Linked DNA regions of Sus scrofa. The protein of the gene in region 2 interacts with the protein of the main gene of each other region in a pairwise test. Links are inferred from orthologs where the notes say so. Each region holds a gene or a part of one and is shown on either strand. Other genes may lie near its edges. The genes, in order: SMAD7 and PIAS4.

What was found.
Region 1: the proteins of PIAS4 (region 2) and SMAD7 interact in a two-hybrid assay, tested with the Homo sapiens proteins (2 studies listed by BioGRID and IntAct). The link is inferred for Sus scrofa from reciprocal best matches to the Homo sapiens genes PIAS4 and SMAD7.

Annotation. Positions count from the first base shown.
Region 1 is NC_010443.5:98,508,998-98,519,567, forward strand, and holds the end of SMAD7 (mothers against decapentaplegic homolog 7), read right to left. Parts: intron 5,824-10,570; coding exon 5,285-5,823; 3' UTR 3,803-5,284; downstream 1-3,802. UniProt on the Homo sapiens protein: Antagonist of signaling by TGF-beta (transforming growth factor) type 1 receptor superfamily members; has been shown to inhibit TGF-beta (Transforming growth factor) and activin signaling by associating with their receptors thus preventing SMAD2 access.
Region 2 is NC_010444.4:74,723,180-74,734,915, forward strand, and holds the start of PIAS4 (E3 SUMO-protein ligase PIAS4), read right to left. Parts: upstream 6,614-11,736; 5' UTR 6,532-6,613; coding exon 6,505-6,531; intron 1,374-6,504; coding exon 947-1,373; intron 1-946.

The DNA.
Region 1 (10,570 bases), on a different chromosome or scaffold from region 2:
TCCATCCCAAACTAAGCCCACAGTTCTGGCTCTCCCTCCCTCACGGGGACAAGCCTTGTGCCAGAAATTGTTAGGGCAGTGGATCCTCAGAGAGGTCCCAGCTGAGACCCCAGAGTGCCAAAAGCTTACTGTTCAGTGGGGGAGAGAGGCTCTTACACCACTGATGTCTCTTTAGAGCAGAAATTTGTAAGAAGGAGGCTTCCTGGAGGAAGTGTGGTCTGAGCTGCATCCTGAAGGGTGGGACAACCCAAATGAAGAAGGGACTGGATAGTACTTGCTCAGAGGCACGTAAACAAAGTATGTTTAAAGAACTGCAAGTCACTCTGCCTGCCCGGGACAGAGGGGATGTGTGTGTGTGTGCACACGTGTGTTATGTGTGTATGTGTTATGTATGTATTCTGTTTAAGTATGTATAGGTGTGTGCCTGCTTTGTGTTATATGTGTATATGCATATGTGTTGTGCATGTGTGTTATATGTGTGCATGTTGTGTCTGCATGTGTATGTTATGGGTGTATATGTGTGTGTTATGTGTGTGTGTTTGCATGTGTGTTATGTGCATACATGTATGTTTGTTGTGTGTGTGTTATGTATGTATTCTGTATATGTGTGTATGTGTATGACCGCTTTGTGTTATATGCATGCATGTTTATGTATCGTGTGTGTGTGTCTGTATATGTGTGTGCGTGTGTATGTTATGGGGTGTATGTGTGTATTGTGTGTCTGCATGTGTGTTATGCGTGTGTATGTGTGGGTCTATATATGTATGTATTGTGTGTCTGCGTGTCTGCGTGAGTATGTGTGTGTTAAAGGGTGAGGCTGGCAGAGGCAGATGCTGAAAGGGCACCTGGAACAGAGGAAGGAAGGCCAAGGAGTCACTAGAAGGCCCTGGACTCAATCGTACTAGTGGGGAGAGAGCAGGGGCCCATACGTGAGAAAGCTTTGCGTTGTATAATTATGGGTAGAATGAGGCAGGGATCTGGATTTCTGTGTCATGGTGGGGGATGGGGCAAGGGAGGTGGGAGAATCTGGCTTCTGGCCAGAGCAGCTGAGGCATCCACAGGTGGGGGGAGATGAAGGCACCGGAGTAGAAGCGATGTTACCCCGAGGACAGGGTGTGGCCTGAGAAGAGAGCCCTGGGCAGAAGCCTATGACACACCCCCAAACCTGACTGGTGAGCTGGGAGAGGAAGGAGAACCAGGAGGCAGGAGAATTCCCTCCAACGGGGCATCCCCTCCTGCCCTCTGCTAATCCACATTCACCTGGGCTGCAGGTCCTCGCTCCTCTGAGCTCCGTGTGGTCCGGGGTACGCGCCCCTCCATCTGTGCTGCTGGCCACTGTCTGGTGTGGGCAGCCTGTCCCCCAGCACCACCGAGACCTGGGTGCTCCCTACAGCAACCCCGGCACTTCGGAGGTTCCCGGGGGGGTGCCCCTGGTTATGGTGGCTCAGGACCAGGTTCTGCAAACTTGGGGTCTTCCCTAAGTATCCCTCTTTCCCTAACCCAGAGCCAGCCACCCCATGGGGTCCACAGGCACTCAGACCAGTTCTAACCTCATGGGGCTGAGAGTTGAGTCCAGGTGACTGAGGCAGGTGGGAATGTGCTGCTCCCATAGCTCCTGCCTCCAGAGCCAGAGGTTCTGCCCATGCAGCATGCAGAGCAAACAATATGGGGCCCCCGGTACCCCAACAAACTGCATCAAATAATGTCTCTATAGGGTATGGACCAAGGAGTGATACCAGAGTCGGCCCCCAATCCCCCCCACCCCTAAAACTGCACTCCCTGGCCCAGTGACCTTGGGCCAATCTTTTAACCTCCCAAAGCCTCCATTTTTGCAGGGGGTCCTAGTGAGGATTAAATAATTCCCTTAAACTCTTAACACCATGCCTGGCAACCAGCTAAGCCTTCAATAAATGGTAGCTATTATTATTATTAAAGAGCTTCCTGGCATGCTGATGCAAGTTAGAGCAAAGGAAAATGCCTTTGACAGCTCCCTAATGTAACACCTTCCACCCCGCCCCTCCTCCACTGCTACCACCCGGGAGTTAATTAGAGCCCTCCTTGGGTGTTTTCCAGACATGGGATTTTACGCTTATTCTAGGTTGCAGAACTAGAATAAATGGAGGCAGGTTTTAGTTTAACTGATAAAAAGCTGCCACAGGAGGTAGTGAGCTCCCCATCACCTCTTGTGAATAAGCTGGCCAAGATGACCATGTGGCACTAACCTCTGGGTCATAAAGCAACAGGTATTAACATTCTCAGTACACAAGTGGATGACAATTCCTGCGAATTAAATGGTGGTGCCGGTAGGCTGTGATGCATGGTGTCATTTGGCAAAATGAAAAATTGGTGATCCTATTTGGTCCCTCCAAAAAACGTTTTCTGAAATTGTACTGGTTTGTGATATCCAAAATCTTAAGCCCCACTTCTAAGAGAGCCCCTTCCTGGGTCTAAGGTTCAAGACCCCCTGACATAAGCACCTAATCGGGTGCCCAGTTTGGACCCATTTCTTGCACAAAAGGCCTTGAATCTAAAATGTGGATCAGGGAGTTCCCATTGTGGCTCAGTGGTAATGAACCTGAAGCGTATCAATGACATTGCAGGTTTGATCCCTGGCCTTGTTCAGTGGGGTAGGATCCGGAATTGCTGTGAGCGGTGGTGTAGGTTGCAGTCGTGTCTTGGATTTGGTGTTGCTGTGGCTGTGGCCTGCAGCTGCAGCTCCAATTGGACCCCTAGCCTGGGAACCTCCATGTGCCATGGGTGTGGCCCCAAAAAGCAAAAAAATAAAAATAAAATAAATGTGGATCAGATCAAGGAGTGGATCAAGAGAGCAGTGGAAATCCCAGGGGCAGTTCTGAAGAGGTAGGTTACCAGCAAGTGCCACTGGGGCTGGGCTGAGTCAAGGGAACAGCAAACTGGAGAGAGTGCAGTGTAGGAGCTAGACTTCTTTTCAGTCCTCTCGGAGTGTGCAGTACAGAACTTCGCAGACCCAGGTGGCCGATTCCTCCTACCACCAGCACAGCCTGTGCCTCATCTCTACTCCAGGGCTTCAGCCCTCAGGGAAGCTGTCCTGGAACCCATTGTGGCAGTGACCTTCCTCAGGGAAAGGTGCAGTAGTGTCAGGATTGAACATACAGCAAGGAGCTGGCAAGCAGGAATCAGATGGACCCCAAGTTCTTAGGACTATACCTCCTCTTCCCCTTGCCCATCATTCAAAATGAAACTCTCTTTACTAAGCTCTTCAAGATTTTTTTTCTTTTTTTTTTTTCAAGGCTGCACCTGCAGCATATGGAAGTTCCCAGGCAAGGGATCAAATCAGAGCTGCAGCCACCGGCCTACACCAGTCACAGCAGTGCCACGTCAGAGCCACATCTGTAACCTATGCCACAGCTTGCAGCAACACCAGATCCTTAACCCACGGAGGCCAGGGATGGAACCCACATCCTCATGGATATTATAGTTGGGTTCTTACCCTGCTGAGGTACATCAGGAACTCAACTTTTCAAGCTTTGAAAAAAGTCACCTGCTTTTGTAACTCAGGGCTCCCTGAGGTTGACAAATTCAGGACACCCACCAACTACACTCTAGGGTTACTGCCTTATAAGAAAGGTGCTATCTGTGCAGGTATGGCTCTTTCTAGCATTCAGAGAAGACCAAGTTCTTTTGGATGTTTCTCCCTTCTGTGGTCCCCCCCTTTCCTCCCAACCAAGCACGAGGAGACACCAACTGTCCTGGATTCTGCACCTCCCCACTCCCCTCCTACCAGGAAAAAAAAGGAGCTGGAAGACAACAAGGGAATCAAGTATACATTTTAAAAATTGTTTAATGGAACATAAACTCCTTTAGAAAAACATTCAGCCAGGTGATAACACCCATAGAAAAAAACACCAATCTTGTGTTTATCTTTTTTTAATTTGGCATTTGTTATTTGCATTTATATTAAAGCAAAGTGCATCTTTTCTTTATTTTTGTTTATACACATTGCACAATACATAAATAATGATGCTTATAAAACGTCTTCATATTTACAAGTAATAATATATTTATATATAACATAAAATACATTTTTTCTTTAATAAATCTCAGGTTTTTTTCAGGAGTCCTTTCTCTCTCAAAGCACTACAATGCTAAATTTCCAATGAGAATGCTTCTCTTGTTCATTTAAACCTTTGTAGTTAGAAAAATAGCTTATGTTAAAGTCTAAACATGCTCATTGAGCTAAGAGCAGTGTCAACGTATCATCCGAGTGTATGAGTTGTAGAAGAAATGAGAAGAGTTAGGGGTGTCAGCTCAGGATGGTACCTTGGGTTACAATGGACCGAATCCTTCTTGGTGGGAAGGGGGAGCGGGGGGCAGGGGGGTGCTGCTCCCCTCACTGGTCTAACAGCAGAGCTCAGCACACAGGCTGCGGAGGGAAGGAAAATGCTGAGCTGGTTTTCTGAATCCAGGAAAAACCTGATGTAACCAGGGACGGGGAGAGGCTGAGGGGCCTGAGAGGGCACTGGGTGAGCAATACTGTAATGGGGCTGCCCCGGCAGCCCTCAGGAAGTCCATCTCAGAGACAATCCAGGAGCAGGTGGCCAAAAGAGAAAGGACGATGGCAGGGAGGTGGCTGGAGGGGGCGGGGGCGAGTGAGACAGCATGGGAAATAGGTTCTGGTTCGGCTTCTTGTAGAGCTGCTTCGAAGAAGCCTGCGGACAGGCCAATGTCCTAGGAAGGGGTGGCGAGGGGCAGGGGGGCTTCCACAGGCTGGGGACACAACCTTGCTGCTGGCAGCTGCTGGGAGACCTGCTGCCCCACTGCGCAGGTGCAAGGGGCTAGAGACACAGCTTGGGAGCATTCGTAGTTAACAACACAGAGCACACCGCCTCCCCCATCTACACTCACACACGCGCACACACTCACTCACACATAAGCCCTACTAAGGGCTACGATGACCCCAAGGTTGGGGCCTGCTCCCCATTTACACTGTGTTTGGTGGCACTGATTTTTGCTTCCCCTTTTCAGATCTGGGTGTTCTGCCAACCTTACCACTGCCCACCCCTGCCCCCGCCCCAACCCGCCCCGAAGAGGAAAAAAAAAAAAAAAAAAAACCAACAATTCTTTTCATAAGCTATTTCTCAAAGAACAAAACAAAACATAACATAAACAAGAACGACGAGAGGAAGGAAAAAAAAAATGACCAAAGAGTTTGCATGAAAAGCAAGCACTCAGGAGGAAAATCTTAGCAGCAAAGTAGTTTGGACTGGGCCCGCTCGGCTCCCGCTCTGTCCTCTCCCCCACGAGGCTACCGGCTGTTGAAGATGACCTCCAGCCAGCATGGGCAGCTGCTGATGAACTGCCGGGTGTAGCACTGGCCCCAGCCCTTCACGAAGCTGATCTGCACGGTGAACCCAGTCCACGGCTGCTGCATGAACTCGTGGTCGTTGGGCCGCTGCAGGCTGTACGCTTTCTCATAGTCAAAAGCCTTGATGGAGAAACCGGGGAACACTTTGTGTACCAACAGCGTCCTGGAGTCCGGGTTGTCCAGTGTGGCTGACTTGATGAAGATGGGGTAACTGCTGCGGTTGTACACCCACACGCCATCCACTTCCCGCGTGAGCTGGATGCCACAGCCGATCTTGCTCCGCACTTTCTGCACCAGCTGACTCTTGTTGTCCGAATTGAGCTGTCCAAGGCAAAAGCCATTCCCCTGAGGTAGATCATAAAAGATATCCAGGGAGGGCTCCTGGACACAGTAGAGCCTCCCCACTCTCGTCTTCTCCTCCCAGTATGCCACCACGCACCAGTGTGACCGATCCCCAGGCTCCAGAAGAAGTTGGGAATCTAGAAGACAAAATGGCAGACATGGTGGGTGATGATGGGGACTGGCATTTTCCTCTTCCTCCCAAACCAAGATGACGTGCACATCCGCACTCCTGGGCCGCCAGGCCCACTGTTTCTCAGTGCAAGACAGAAAGAGATGATAGGGCACTGGATGTGCCACAGGCTGTACAGTTCCCCTATGGGGGGCTTGGAGATCTTAACCCAGTGATGGAAGAGCGGGGCCTCTAAAGCATGGGGGTCCCTGATCCCTCTGCTCCCCCGCATCCTATCAGGAACCCAGGACACCAACCCTACCAGTGGAAGCCCCATCCCTGCAGAATCAGAAGCCAGGACCACTTAGTAACTTAGTTGGAGGGCTTACTTTTAGGGCTGGGAGAGGCCTTCTAGACAGGTCTAAAATTATAGTCCTTTAAACTGGATGGAACCTTGCAGGCCAGCTGCTCCAGCCCCTTGTCATCCTCATGAGAAAACCTGGCCTCAGGAAGTCTGTTGCTCAGGCCCCAGGGATGACACAGCCAGACCTTGACCCCAGGACCACCTGCTAAACAGTCTCTGTGCTTGTCACCCAGTCCTCAGATCAATGCCTTGGTCATCAGGGAGCACTGTCTGGGGGAAACTTTAATGGAGGTGGCTTGGGATAAAAATACCTATCTTCCTAATAGAAAAACAACTCAGTGTGTCTGTCCCCGGCAGCTCTGTACACAAAGGGTGAGCTCCTGTCAACACGCCAAGTCACAACATGCAACTTGGTGTCAGCCCCGACTACCTCCGGCCCAGATGGAAGATTGTGTGTCTCAAGTGGGTACAACCATGCCTTTGGCGGGGGGGAACCCTCCTCCTCCTCCTCCCCCTCCCTCCCCAGAAGCATCTAGACTGGGTGTCCTCCCCCTCCTTCTTCTGTCCGCCCCTGGAGGCCCCACCCCGGCTTTCCTAGACGTGCTTTCTTCCCACGGCAGCCAGCAGGGGAGGCTGGGGTGAGTCTGCTAAGGTGATTTTTCCTGAACAGGCGCTTGGAGGTCTTTTAAAAGGGAGGATATATGGAAGCCAGGGGGCCCCGGCGGCTGGCATTCCGACTCTTCCTCAAGCTGGAGCCGGCGGGGTAGGCCTCAGACTGGGAGCCATAAATCTCCCGAGCCCAGCCGGGCTGCAGGAACGCTGCGGTTTGTGGTGGCAGGGCGGAGACCGGAAGTCTTGTATTTGTTAACAAAAATGGGGAAAGGCAGGGGAGAGCAGGGCCGGCGGCAGAGCCCTCCTCCCGCCCTCCCTGTAAGCTCCTGCTTCTCTGTTACTGGGGGGCTTGGGGTTGAAGGCAGGGGTTGGCGGGAGGTGTCTTTTGCTCTGTTAGGCCTTTTTGATTTTTGGAAGCGATGATGGGTTATATGGCACAGCGGCTGGGGGTTGGAGGAGGGCTCAGGCCCCGCATCCCGCCATCCCCGCAGGCCGGGGAGCCAGGGCAGCTCAGCATGCCAACTCCTTCCAACGTTTCTAGGCATGTTCGGGCCTGGGAGCCAAACCAGGCAGCTCCATTAACTTTTTTTTTTTTTTTTTTTTTTTTAAAGCAGCAGCCAGTCTTGCATGGAGGCATCCTATGTATGAATAAGTCTGTACAAATGTACTACCCATCGAGGCAGCCACCAACACCCACCCTGAGTGGCAATCCCCTAGACACCCCACCGGCTGGGACAGCTACAAAAATGGGGAAAGCTGAGGGGTCCTTCCTCCCCTCAACCCCAACCCCATGAAATATCAACACCAGAAACTTGGTCACCTGCGTCCCCCATGCATCTCTAAAGCTCAAGTGTGGGAGAGGCTGTGTCCATGAGCATAGTGTGAACGCACTTCGAGTGTGTGCTCTGTGTGTGTGTGTGTTTGCAAGCACACACCCGGGAACATATGGAAAAACGAGAGGGACCAGGGCTCCAAGCTGAAGGTGACTCGTCAGGCATTAACTTGTTTCTGCAAAGTATCCATCAACTGCTAATAAACTCGCGAGCGCTGGCAATCTTTGAACCCTCTTGCCGAGGGAGTTCAGCTCTGAAGGCTACACCAAAGACCCATAACATCCATGTAAATAAAAATGTCCTGGCAGCCAAGTTTGCTGAGGGAGGAGAAAGCCCTTACCTGCCTGCCTGTCTGAGCGGGGAGGGTGTTTGGAAATATAAGCTATCGCTTATGCTCCCAACTCGGGACAACAAATTGGCCTGGAAAGGAAGACTCGAGAGTTGCTGGGAGGAAGGTTCGGGAGACCCTTGGGGGAGCCTCACAATACTTTGTTTCATGGAGCTCCCCTGAAACCTGGCACCCGCTGGAGCAGGGAGGTGAGGCAGGGGGAGGGGGAGGAGGAGGACAGGGTCCTAGGGATCAAATTGCCCCGGTGCCAGGCCCACAGACAAGGGATGGGGGGCCTCTGTGGGCTGAGGAAGCTGGGCGGGGGCAGAGGATTGAGGTCGCCCAGCGGAGGGGAGGGGAAGGGGGGGGGCCTTCTGGCGGGTTTCTCTTTCATCTGTGCTGCCCGCCAGTCCACCCAGCAATTTGCTGCCAGACATCCCCTGGAAAAAGCCTTTTGCTGTTGAGGTTAATGGCCCAGCCCAGATAAACAGCAGCGTGTGGGTGTCCCTGGATGTGAATAAGGCCCCTGAAAGCCCACTTGGTGCCCTAATCGGGGGCAGCAGGACCCCCCCCATGTCACCCAGCAGCCCCCTAGCACCCTGATATCTCTTTTCTTTTGCTCCTCCTTGACTTTATCTGAGCCAAAAAGCAGGCTCTCAGGCAAAACCAGTGCAAGAGAGAAGGTCCCTTTTACATGGCACGCTGCTGGGGGCCTGGTACGCAGGGCTCCCTCCTTTGCCCTGAACGACCTGCCGTCTGGGCTCATTTCTGGGAAGCATGCAGCGACATCTTCAGAGAATCAGTTCCCTAAATTGGGCCCACAGCCCACTAGCATCTCCCCACAAAGGTCTGTGCTGACGCCCAGCTCCCAGGGGCTTCCCAGGCCTCCTTGAGGTGAGCAGCTGGGAGGATCTCGCCCCGAAAAGTCCCCCTGATTACAAGGACTAAGGAAGCGCCTTCGTATCATGGTGGTTGATTCTCAGCCTCCAAAGGCAAAAACTCGCAGTCCCTTGTTAATTTCCCTCAGCTTTTATAACCGTTTCCGGCATTTCCAACAACTTCTTCTCTCCCGCCTCAGAAAACTGTACAGGGGCTTGTTTTAAAACTGTATTTGTGCATTTTAACTCATCCAAAAGAAAAGCTGTGTTGTAAAAAGCTAGCTAATCAGATGCCTGCTCACAATTTTTTCTTTTTATTACAGTTTAGGGAATTTTTGGAGCAACCCCAGAAAAGTGCTGAATCGGCCTAAAATTCCTTTCAGGTTGTTTTCCCCCCTCCCCTTCCCCATTTCCCTTAAAGCATAAAATCTACCCTTTAAAAGGAAAGGGGGAGGCGGGGGTGGAGAAGGGGAAGGATTTCGCCTCGTGTTTGCACTTGCATTAGGGAAGACCACTTAACGAGACCTCGTACAAAGAGTTATTTAATTACCCTGGTCATGAATGAACAGACCAGACCGTTCTAGAAGGCCAGAGGCTCATGAATGAATCTCCTGCCTGGGATCTCAATGGCACAGGGTGACCAGACCTCAAGGCCCCAATTTAGGTAAGAGAGATATTTCCCCCTTTAAAATTTTTGTATTTGAAGGTGTGAGGCAATGAAGAAGAAAAAACCTGGGGGTGGGGGTGGGAGGAAAGGCCAAGTTCAGGGCCTCAATAGTACTATTTCTGGTCTTCAGCTTAAGGAGGCAACCAGGAGGCCAGAGAGGCAGAACTGTTTTAAGACACCCAGTGGGATTCTGAGAACACTAGAAGTAAGGCCGTCTGACCTGAGCTTACACACAGAGGGGGTGCTGATGGGGAGGGGGTCCCTGAGATCCTGACTTTTCAGGACAGGGACACAACTGAGAAACCAAGCCAGCCCAGATGGGGCCACAGCAGCTCGCACCCTCGGAATCCAATGAGCCCCATGGCCAGGGCTCAAGGTGGCTGGACTAAAAGATGGGCAAAGGGAGGTGGGTCTCAACCCGATCTCATCTCTGCAAGGCGCTTGGATTACCAAGGGATTACTTCTTTTATCCAACCCTCTCATTATCCAGCAGTCGGGTGGGTCTTCGAGCCCCTTCCCCAGTGGTCCTGCACAGCAGCCGGCTGGGGTGGAGCCGGCGGAAATGACTGCCTCACGCAGGCTGATGAGGGCAAACGAAGGGCACAAATGCAGACTCAGAAGTACAACCCTGGAACGCAAACATTGCCACGCCTCACCCTCTCAGGTCCAGGGTCCTCCCTCCTCGGGACTCCCGGCGCCACCACGGTTGCCTCATCCGTCCTGCCCCCTCCATCACTCATCTCAAAGGTTAACAGCACCCGTCAGCCCGGCTCCCCACCCCGGTCAGGAAACGGGCTGTTCTGAGAGCAACCGGCCCACTTCAGGGACAAGGACTGAGATAAAAGGACTCGGTACCACTCCGTCCTATCGACTCTCTCATCTCAAATACAATTAACAAAGACTCTTGTTGGGCTCCAGTTTTCAGGAAGCAAATGACCGAAAAAACTAAAGCAAACATAAAACCAGGCTGGGGTGTCTGGGCTCCGTCTGGGCTCCGGGGTCAGCTCTCAGCCACGTTTGCCACCCCATCCGGGACACAAGCAATGACGCCACCGCCGCTCCCTCGGGTTGTCGGGGGAGCAAAGACAGCTCT
Region 2 (11,736 bases):
AAGGCTGTCCAGGAGGGACCAAGGCCTACCTACATGACACTCAGTCAACCTGAGCGACAAAGAGACGAGCAAGAGATTCCTTGGCATCATCTCCTCCAGCCTTGGCTATACCCTGTCCCTTGGGGGCACACCTAGCCAAGCCCTGACCTGCCCATGTTGACAGGCCTGAATCCACTGACCAAAGTCACTCCTGCAAGCTACCTACTAGGAAGCAGCTTTCTGTGGAGGAAGGAGAGAAAGTCAGATCAAGCATCCAGCCTCACAGTGTACCACAGGGTATCAGAGTTGGTCTCCGTGACTAGTGGAATGTGGTAGAAGCAGAAGGATGCCGTTTCCAAGCTGAGGTTATGAGGGAGATCTAGGCTCCCAGCAGGTTTGAGCACTCCCATGTGCTCGTGCGTACACACACTTTCGCCCTCTCCCACCACTGCCCCATCAGCTCCCTCCCCTCCCCACCTCTGAGTCTGAGCCACCATGCCACCATGCAGGGGGACTCTCAAGTACAAGCAGGCCGCAGAGGCCCATGTGGCGAGAACTGGAATCTCCACCTGACGGCCAGCAACCGCATGAGAAAGTGGCCCTGCCCCCAGCCCCCACCGAGCCTTCTGACAAAGCAGCCCCTGACCATACCACCTTGACTGTAACTCCCTGGGCACCCCCGAGCCAGAACAGCTAGGCTCTTCCCGAGTTCTGACCTTCAGAAACAGACCTAATAGGTGTTAGCTGTTTCAAGCCACTGGGATTTGGGGTAACCTGCCCATGTGATAATAGGTCCCTAGTTCAAGGACCCAAAGGTAGTCCCTGTGCTTCCTGGGAGGGGTAATCCCCTCACAGCCTCTTGGCCCTTCCCACTCCCCAGAAAACGCTCCGGGTTGGCCACGTGGCTGGCCTCTGGTGCTGGGAGAACTCAAAAGGTGGGCCTCCCCCAGGGACAGCAGGGACTCACCCAGCTCTGTGGGCTTTAGCAATTCATCCAACATGTTAAAGAAGGGCAGCTTCACCAGGCGCACTTCCGGCTTGAGGGTCTTGGCAGGTAAGCGTCCGAGTCCGTTTAAGTACTTCCCGTAGAGCACGGGGTAGTCAATGTTGGGGCCCGTGAGGGGAGTCCTGGGCACCGAGCTGGCCCGGTCATAGGCTGAGTGCATGGCCAGGGGGTCCAGGGGCCGGTGGGGCTGGGGTGTGGGTTCTGAGCTCTTCTTGGCGTAGCGCGTCTCGTAGAGCTCCTTGATCTTCTTGAATAGCTCAGGGCTACAGTCAAACTGAACCAGCTGGAGGGCCCGGGTGACAAGTTCGTGTTTGAGTCCGCTCTTACTCCGGCCGACAAAACCCAGGAGCATCTGAAGATCGGAGACTCGGAAACTCATCACCATGTTCTGAGAAGAGCAACCACAGACAAAAAGGCTCAGAGAGAGATGCTGCCAGGGTGAGGGGCCGCCTGGGCCTTGAGTGGAGGGACGGTGAAGTGAGACCCTGCCAGCGGCTGGCCAGCCCAGCCCCCCAAGGAGGAGGCAGCAGTTTTGGTACCCGTCCCACTGGCCCATGCCTGGTCCCACTTCCATGCCCGTGCTCAATCTGCCAGTTCACCCTTCCCTGTGACGCCCCCTCCCAGCCCAGCCCTGCTCCCTTCCACCTCCTCCAACCTTCCTCAGCATCGCCAACGCAGCAAAAGCTCCTCTAACTGCTCCCCCCACAAACTACTTCTATTTTAGGTCCTCTTTCTTTTCTCATCTTCAAGCGTAAAAGCATCTCCAGGGCAGGACCTGGGAATCTTGGTTCCCTGTAAACAGACTTAACTACTCTCCAGCCAAGAACACCGATGGCCTCTCTGACCCTCAGTCTCTTCATCAGGGAGGACAACAGGCCCACCTCACTGGGATGTGGAAAGGACCAGATGAGGTGACTCACGCAAAGCAGAGTGGGTGCTCAACCAACATCAGCCAAAAAACATGTTTTCCCTTTGCTCTGGAGGACGGCTGCCACCACTTCCTTAGGCACAACTCACCTGAAGGGGACTGAGCGGGCTGTGTGATTATAAACTTGACTCTGATCCTTCAAACACTCCTACCAGGTTGGAGTGAGCCCCAATTAGGAACAAGATCCAAACTCATCTCTGAAGCTAGGGGTGGCTCCTCCCCACTAGGCTGCTCCAGCACCGACAGAGAGCTGAGCACTGTCGAGGCCATCAAAGCGTCTGCGGGGCTCACCAGCATGCCTCCTCCCCAGTACCGTGGATGCCAGGGCTGGATCATTCTCTGGGATGGGGCCGTCCCTGGCAAGGTGGGGTGTGAAGCAGGATCCCTGGCTCCACCCACTCGATGCCAGGAGTACCCGAAACCCCAGTCCCACAGACATCACCAAGTGTCCCCTGGGGGCAAAATCAGGCTGACAGAGGCACCAGGATCCAGCAGCCATAGATGCTGTTAATTGGGCTGAGGCAGGTGATGACCTCGCAGGGCCCCTCCAATGAAGTCAAACCAAACACAAGAGTGCAGTGAAACTAACTGGTGGTAGCTTGCCCTCAGTGACACTCTGGGCTCCCCAATATGCTACTAAAGCAACATATCCTGGAGAGACAGGCCAGCAGGGTTTGGGGGCCACCCATGCTGAGCCCTGAAGCTGGCCTGTGATGAGTGAAATGTAATGGGGAAAAGAAACTTCTAGGGGGAAGGGAAAAATAAAAAGTACAATCGACAACAGTGGATGTGGAAAGCTGACATGCCTGGGGCAGCATAGCACCCCAAAAAAACAATAAATCACTTAAACTCAACTAAAAAAAGTCTGCCAGTCAGAGGTAGGCGGTTCACCTGCCAGGCTCTTCATGTAGTGGCCTCAAAGCCAGAAGGCTGCTGCTTTCCGGCAGCTTAAGAGTCAGCCATGGAATCTGATGATGGCCCTGGGGCTCAGGAGCCCTGGGTTTAAGTTCAGACTCTGCCCTAGGTTCCCAGGTGACCCTGGCCTGTTGCCAAGCTTCACAGCACTTCAGTCAAGGTGGGAACTGACTAACATCCCTTCCAGATGTACAGCACTAGGCTTCTGCTGGTAGCAGAGGGGTGTGCTGGGCTCAAAATGACACAAACAAACCTACAGGGTTGCCTGGCCAGCAAAGCCTTGAGGGGGACACTTTTCCTGCTGTAGGATCTTCTTTCTACTCCTGCACTGCAGACACTGAGTGTCCGCCAATGGCAAGCATAAGGGCCTTCACGGTCACTATGCTCACAAGGACTCATGCCCACTATACAGGTCAGAAAACTGAAGTTCCAAGAGGGAAGCAACTGACCCAAGGCTTTCCTGAGTGTGGACAGCAGGGCTGGCATTTGGACTTGAGACCATCAGGTTCCTTGAGCTGCTTACTTCCACTCACACCCAGCTGCCTGGGGGCCCCTCATCCCCAGCACACCCCCTCACAGGGCCCTAAGCAGCCTGCTGGAGAGTCTGAACACTCTGAAAACAAAGAGGCTTTACCACCCTCGGCCTGACTTCCCACCTTGAGGAGAGAAGAAAAGATTGCAGACAAGATGTTTCTTCTGGAAGAGGCCCAAAGCACTCAAGGGGAGAGGCGATGTCATGTGGAAGCTGACCACTGGCCATGGAGTCAAAGGCAGGTGGGCTTGGCCTTTTGGAGTCACCCCGCCCCTGGGAGCCCCTGCCCCCACCTACCCCGTCCACCAGGTTGGACATCCGGAGCCGCCTCCTGCTCCTGCATCCTGGGGCACACCCCTCAAACTGCCATATGTTCACAACTCGTATTTCTCAGCAGCTGCCACCACCCAGGAGCCTGCCCTTGACACTGGTGGGGGGGGGGGCGCACGAGCAGGGTGCAAACATTCAGGAAGAAGCCCCAAGCGCTTTGCAGAACACTTCCTGCTGTGGCTTCATACTGACCCTGCCCCTCGGATCTGTGTTTATAAACAGCGCCAGGCCCCAGCAGCTTCCAGAGCCTCAACTCTAGGCTCCTTTGGAGCTGCCTAGAGAAACAACAGCCTTGATAGAGTAGCTGTGCTCAACTTAGGGGCTCCTCTCTCCAGGAAATCAGAGCTCCGTGCAAACTACTACGCACCCTCCTCTCAGGGACTTTCTAGACCACCCCGTCTCAGGTTAAGAGTCTCAGATTTCCAAGTTTATCAACAAGCCCCCTTCACCCTCCCCTCGAACCAGCCCATTTTGCACTCCAAAAGACAAAATCTCTGGTTCTCACTACAAAAGGGTGAGAAAGCTCCTAAAAGAGGGAGATATTTCAATGAGACGTATAGTAAGCACTTCTTGGTGACAGCAAAGCACTGGAGGAAAAAGAAGTCTCCCTAGAATCAGAGCAAGCTATGCTGCAGTCGTGAGCCCCCCTGAATGGAGGCTCACATTTTAGAAAACTTGAAAAAGGGTCCTCTAAAAAAAAGACAAGAGACAAAAAAAATTATAAGGCGTTCCCGTCGTGGCGCAGCGGAAACAAATCCGACTAGGAACCATGAGGTTGTGGGTTTGATCCCTGGCCTTGCTCAGTGGGTTAAGGATCCGGTGTTGCCGTGAGCCATGGTGTAGGTTGCAGATGCGGCTCGGATCTGACGTTGCTGTGGCTCTGGCGTAGGCCGGCAGCAATAGCTCCAATTAGACCCCTAGCCTGAGAACCTCCATACGCTGTGGGTGCAGCTTTAAAAAAAAAGACAAAAGACAAGAAAAAGGGTCAACTTGATTTAATTGGGGTTGGGGGGGCAGCCACTGGAGGGTCAAGCAGAGTTCATCAGATCATATTTCAAGGCCCTGAATGGTATAAGAGTTCAGACCCCACTCTCTGGCTGGAGGATCGGCGGGAGCCCAGAGCCAAAACCCCACAGCAGAGGAGGTTAAATTTCAGGGCTCCAGGGGACTTCAGGTTGCAGGCTGCTGCCTTGGGCTTGCACATCTCTAGGGCAGGTACTCAATTTCTCAAAATTCCAGAGGAGCAGAAGCATGTGTTCTAGGTACAGGGGGAGGGAGCTCAGGGGTGAAGGGAGGGTAATACCCTATAATCACAGAACCTTGAGGGCTTCATTTCAGACCCCAGTGGGAAGGGAAGGGAGATGTAAGGAAAGGGAAAGAAAACATTTACAGGTCAAGACCCTGGGGAGGACAGACCAGAGGGGTGGGGGTGCCTCAGTTCTGCAAAGGTCCTGCCCTCTACATCCCTGAGACCTGTGGCCTTGAGTAAACTTCTTACAGAAGAAGTCTCGTGCAGTCAGGGGCAAGAGTTCTGGAGCCTCACCTCAGAGAGGCTACCTTGAAGAAAATACATCTCTGGAAAACTGATGCTTCCAGCTTAGTCCCAAGAGGGTTAAAAAGGACCCTAAGCTAAGAGAAGGGATGGTATCTATGGGATGTGGAACCTGGACCCCAAACAGGAATACAGCAGAGAAGCACTAGGAACTACCCTACAGAAAAAATCCTACCCTGCAGTCAATCAGAGACCTTCCAAGGACCAACACGAGAGACCAGAAGAAAGAGAGAGGGGCCTCAGATGCCAAAGCTGGGATGCAAAAGCAGGGGTTCTGGGGCTAGGTGGAAAGGGAGTGTGATCTGAGCAGTAGATCCACAATGAAGTAGAATACAGAGGAAACAGCCAAGGTTGGGAAATAAGAGTCTGATCCCGCAAGGGTGAGGACTAGAACCCCCAGAAGTAGTCCAAAAGGGCATAGATGCTGTCCTAAAGGGGAAGAGGGAGAAGGAAGGCAGAGCTCAGAACCGAAGACTGAGAGGAGAGAGATGGGAAGGTCTTGGACACAGGGGCCAGAGCTCCATCCCAGGGGGGCACACTCAGTTAACACCAAGCCCACTCCAGGGTGAGGAAGGTGTCGGGAGGGAGGCGGGGTTCTGGAACCAGAGCAGGAGCTGAACAGGGCCCCAAACACCAGTTTAGCGTACAGACCCCAAGAGACACACTATTTTTGAGGGACATTGAGGACCCCAGCTCATCACTCCGGACGGTGCAAGCGGTGGCAGAAGAGTCAGGGGACCCTTCTGAGCAAGGAGTAGCCAACCCCAGTCTAGTCGGCTAGTCGGCTGGGGCGAGGAGGCTAAGACCCTGACGGCAGCCATGGCGGGAGAGAAGACGCGCAGACAATCCCAAAGGCCAAAGAGCGCGGACCCCTGTTTGGGACGAGAAGACAAGCAGCTCAGCCCGTGAAGCTGTCCGTGGGGACTGTGCCTCAAGCTGGGAGGCGCGGCCCTGTGCCCGTGTTTAGGGAGATTTGTAGGTAACCTAACCGCTCGAGCTGGAGAAGGGGACCCCAAGCTCAAGCCCAGGGGCCGACCCCCCAGGGCGAAGAGTGGGGTGAGGTTTTCGGGGGCCCCGCCCCCGGCCTCCGCGCGCCCCGCCCGCACCCGGAGTCCGGGGACCAGGGGCGGGCGAGGAGGCCGGACGCCGAGGTGCGAGCGGGCTGTGTCTCAGGACCCCGAGCGGAAGGCGCAGACCTCGGCCTGCCGCCCGGTCCACGCACCCCCCACCCTCCCGGGCCGGCGCCGCGGCCGCTCACTCACTTTGGCCTCCACCAGCTCCGCCGCCATCTTGGCCACCAGCGTCCCCCGCGCCGGGAGCCCCCAGCCGTCGCGTCACGTGACTGCCCTCCACTCGCGGGCGGGGCCTATGCCGCGACCAATTAGCACCCGCGCGCCCTCCTCCCCGCGGCGCGCGCGACCGCGCACTGCGCAGGCGCGCGCGGCCACCGCCCGGGCCTCGGGCCAATCAGGGTGGCCCGACACCGCCCCCCTCTTTAGCTCGCGGCGACCACGCCCACCCCTGGCTGCGTCTAGCTTCTTAAAGGCGCACGAGTGCCGCACAGGTAGGGGTGGGTGCTGGGTCCTGTCTTGGGAGGGAATAGATAGCAGAGGCGACAACAATGCAGCAAGGTGTTGCGGGTCCCCGGTGCGAGGCGGCTGCCAGGTGCTTGACCGGACGCCCGGTGGCGTGGGGGCGGGGAGAAGACAGTTGGCCGGCTCAGCAGCTGCCAATGCGTGCAGCGAGGCGCCTTGCAGAGCAGCGCTGTGCAGCCTCAGGCGTGCTATACATCCGGGTCCTGGCTCGGCAGAGGGGGCTCGGGCGCGGCGCCCCCCACTTAGTTGGCTCCCGGCGGAGAAATGCGGGACCTCCTGCCCACTTCCCGGAGCTCGTGCATCCCTCACACCCGTAAGCGTACTCCTCTCGCTAGTTCTGGCTCCCCATCCACAGTAAACCTTTGGAATCTGCACTAACCGGAAACTCCCCTGCTCAAGAGCTCTCTGTGGCTCCTCAGTGCTCGCGGGCCACAGAGCTCAAAGTTTCTTGTATCAAAAGCAGGAAGAAAGAGGACAAAACTGTGTATTTCAGGGCCCATCCCTTGACATTATAAATATCAGGGCAAGAATTAGCCGAAATTTGAGTGCCCCAAATGACCCTGTTATCAAGATAAATGTTTGTGTGATATATGTGAGAGATATATATACATATTTTTTTTTTTTTTGGCTGTTCCTCAGGGCATGGCAAGTTTTCCAGGCCAGGAGTTGAATCCGCACCGAAGAAGCGACCCAAGCCATAGCAGTGACATTGCCAGATCCTTAACCACTAGGCCACTAGGGAACTCCTGTGCAATATTTTTTAAGAAAAATTAATGCAGGAGTTCCCGTCGTGGCGCAGTGGTTAACGAATCCGACTAGGAACCATGAGGTTGCGGGTTCGATCCCTGCCCTTGCTCAGTGGGTTAACGATCCGGCGTTGCCGTGAGCTGTGGTGTAGGTTGCAGACACGGCTTGGATCCTGCGTTGCTGTGGCTCCGGCGTAGGCTGGCAGCTACAGCTCCGATTGGACCCCTAGCCTGAGAACCTCCATATGCCGCAGGAGCGGCCCAAAGAAATAGCAAAAAGACAAAAAAAAAAAAAAAGAAAGAAAGAAAAAGAAAAATTAATGCAAAAAAACTCCATGATGAAGAAAATACTAATTTAAGAGAGAATCTAACTCTGCAGTTGCAGTCAATACCTCCCTCACCTCACCATAACTCATTTACCTCACCCAAAACTCTGACTCTGCAGGGTTTTGTTTTACTTTTTTTACAATGTTTTATTTTGGGGCACATCAAAGTTCCTGGGCCAGGGATCGAATCCTTAATTCGCTGTGCCACAGCAGGAACTTCGAGCACCAGAATCTTAATCCAGGTCTGACCTTCTCCACACGGTTATAAACTGCATCAGACTGTTCCAGCAGATATTCAGTGATAATCTCTCCATATATCAAAAACCTAATATATGCCAGACACTTTTGAATTAGGAGCGAACATCTTCTGCAAAGATCCAGATAATAAGTATTTTCAGCTCTACAAGCTACAGACAGCATCTGTAGCAACTACTCAACTCGGTGGGCATAGTCATGTACCAATAAAACTTCATTTTAGTCATTCCCATTATGGCACAGTAGAAACAAATCCAACTAGGAACCGTGAGGTTTCGGGTTTGATCCATATCACTCAGTGGGTTAAGGATCCAGTGTTACAGTGAGCTGTGGTATAGGTTGCAGATGCAGCTCAGACCTGGCATGGCTGTGGAGTAGGCCGTCAGCTGTACCTCTGATTGGACCCGTACCATGGGGCCCTCCATATGCCTTGGGTGCGGCTCTAAAAAGCAAAACAAAAACAAAAATCCCTTCATTTCTAAACACTGAATTTGAATTTTATAGAATTTTTACATATAATGAAATATTATTTGAATTTTGGTTCAGACACTGAAAAGAGAAACACTTTTAGCTCAAGGGCTGTTCAGAACAGTTGTCAGACCAAAAAGAAAACAAAAAGACAACTTACAGAATGGGAGAAAATAGTTTCAAATGATGCAACTGACAAGGGCTTAATCTCTAGAATATATAAGCAACTTATACAACTCAACAGCAAAAAAACCAATCAATCAATGGAAAAATGGGCAAAAGACCTGAATAGACATTTCTCCAAAGAAGATACACAGATGGCCAGCAAACACATGAAAAAATGCTCAACATCACTGATTATAAGAGAAATGCAAATCAAAACTACCATGAGATATCACCTCACACCAGTCAGAATGGCCATCATTAATAAATCCACAAATAACAAGTGCTGGAGGGGCTGTGGAGAAAAGGGAACCCTCCTGCACTGCTGGTGGGAATGTAAACTGGTACAGCCACTATGGAGAACAGTTTGGAGATACCTTAGAAATCTATACATAGAACTTCCATATGACCCTGCAATCCCACGCTTGGGCATCTATCCGGACAAAACTCTACTTAAAAGAGACACATGCACCCGCATGTTCATTGCAGCACTATTCACAATAGCCAGGACATGGAAACAATCCAAATGTCCATCGACAGATGATTGGATTCGGAAGATGTGGTATATATACACAATGGAATACTACTCAGCCATAAAAAAGGATGACATCATGCCATTTGCAGCAACATGGATGGAGCTAGAGAATCTCATCCTGAGTGAAATGAGCCAGAAAGACAAAGGCAAATACCATATGATATCACTTATAACTGGAATCTAATATCCAGCACAAATGAACATCTCCTCAGAAAAGAAAATCATGGACTTGGAGAAGAGACTTGTGGTTGCCTGATGGGAGGGGGAGGGAGTGGGAGGGATTGGGAGCTTGGGCTTATCAGACACAACCTAGAATAGATTTACAAGGAGATCCCGCTGAATAGCATTGAGAACTATGTCTAGATACTCATGTTGCAACAGAAGAAATGGTGGGGGAAAAACTGTAATTGTAATGTATACATGTAAGGATAACCTGACCCCCTTGCTGTACAGTGGGAAAATAAAATAAAATAAAATAAAATAAAATAAAAAAGAACAGTTGTCAGGATAGATTTGGCCCTTCCTTTCTTCCATTCTAATAGGTATGCAATGGTATCTCACTGGGGTTTGATTTTAACTCCCTAAATCTATGATTAGGATTCTCATTTTTTTCATGTGCTTATTAGTCATTTGTATATCTTCTGTGTTTTTTTCCTCATTTATAATGATTTTTATTTTTTCCATTAAAAACCATAGTTAGATGCCACGAAGTAGGTGGCAATGCATGTTGTTAGGCCTGAGGGCCTCTTCCATCCTCGTCAAGGAGAGTGCTAACCTCTCCTTTCATGCAACACTGATAAAAATGTTTATTCAAGTCTTTTACCTATTTTTAAAACAGAGGTTTTTTGTGTTGTTGAGCTGTAAGTTTACTATTAATCTCTCATCAGATATATGATTCCCAACTGTTTACTCCTATTCCCTAGGTTGTCTAGCTTAATATTAAGATGTTAGGGAGGGAATTCCCGTCATGGCTCAATGGTTAACGAATCTGACTAGGAACCATGAGGTTGCAGGTTTGATCCCTGGCCTTGCTTAGTGGATTAAGGATCTGGTGTTGCTGTGGCTGTGGTGTAGGCTGGCAAAACAGCTCCGATTAGACCCCTAGCCTGGGAACCTCCACATGCTGCGGGTGTGGCCCTAAAAAAAGACAAAAAAAAAAAAAATTCATGTGCTGGGGGGCGCCGCCACTGCCAAGATGGCAGTGAGAATTGCTGCCTTCCTGAAAAATGCCTGAGCTGAAGGGTCGGTGCTGGTGTCATCCTTCACCATCTGGGGCCTTGCTATAATTCTGCCTGTACTCAGCCCTTATACCAGCTATGCTGTTATGATCAACCAGGTCACACCCTACAACTACCCAGTGCCCCTCAGAGATGACGGGAACATGGCCTAAGTGCTCAGCCACCCCTGGGACCCCCGGGGCCCAAGCTTGGAGTGGCTGAAGAAACTGTGAGCACCTCCACTGACAGCGTAAGAGAGGCCTCCTCCCCAGTGGCCCCCACTAAAAATGTGAAAACCAATAAATAAGTAAAAATAAAAAATAAAATAAAATTCCTATGCAAGAGTTCCCTGGTGGCTCAGCTGGTTTAAGTTCCAGCATTGTCACTGCTGTGGTGCCAGTCACCGCTATGCCACAGGTTCCATCCCTGGCCTAGTAACTTCTGCATGCCATGCACGTGGCCAAAAAGGGGGAAAAATGAGCCAGTGTGGAAAATGGCTAGGTTTACTCAACCTGCAATTCCACTTCCCACAGAAATCACCAAAATGCTACTGATGGTAATAATACCAGCTAATATTTACTGTTCAACTATGTCTTAAGCATTTAACATGTTACCACCTCATCCTCACACCAACCCTATGAAATGTGTACCATTATTGGGTCCAATTTACAGATGAAAAAATCAGTCTTGAGTGGTTAAGTGACCCACCAAGATCACCTAGGAGAACAAGTACATTGAAATTGCTCTTGAATATTTAGACCTAGGCAATAGCTGAAGTTGCAGCTCAAGTCTGCAGGCCATCTCCTGGCAAGATCAGTCTATTTGTGCTAGTCATGCCTTCAACTGATCGGATGAGGCCCACCCACAGTAGGAATGGGAATCTGTTTTACCTAACAGTCCACTGATTTAAACATCAATTCATCCCAAAACCCTTCACAGAAACATCCAGAGTAACATTTGACCAAATATCTAGGCCTCCAGGGCTCAGCCAAGTGGATACATAAAATTAACCAGCCCGCATGATAAGTTATAATTTTGTTTGCAAAGATCTCTCTGGCAGCTGTGAAAAGTGGATATTGGGGAACTGCAGTGGAAGCAGGAGGCCAGGGAAGAGGCTGGTGCGGTCACCAAGGCAAGTGATGATAGGATCCTGAACCAGGGTGGGGGCCAGAGGGGATGTGGTGAAATGG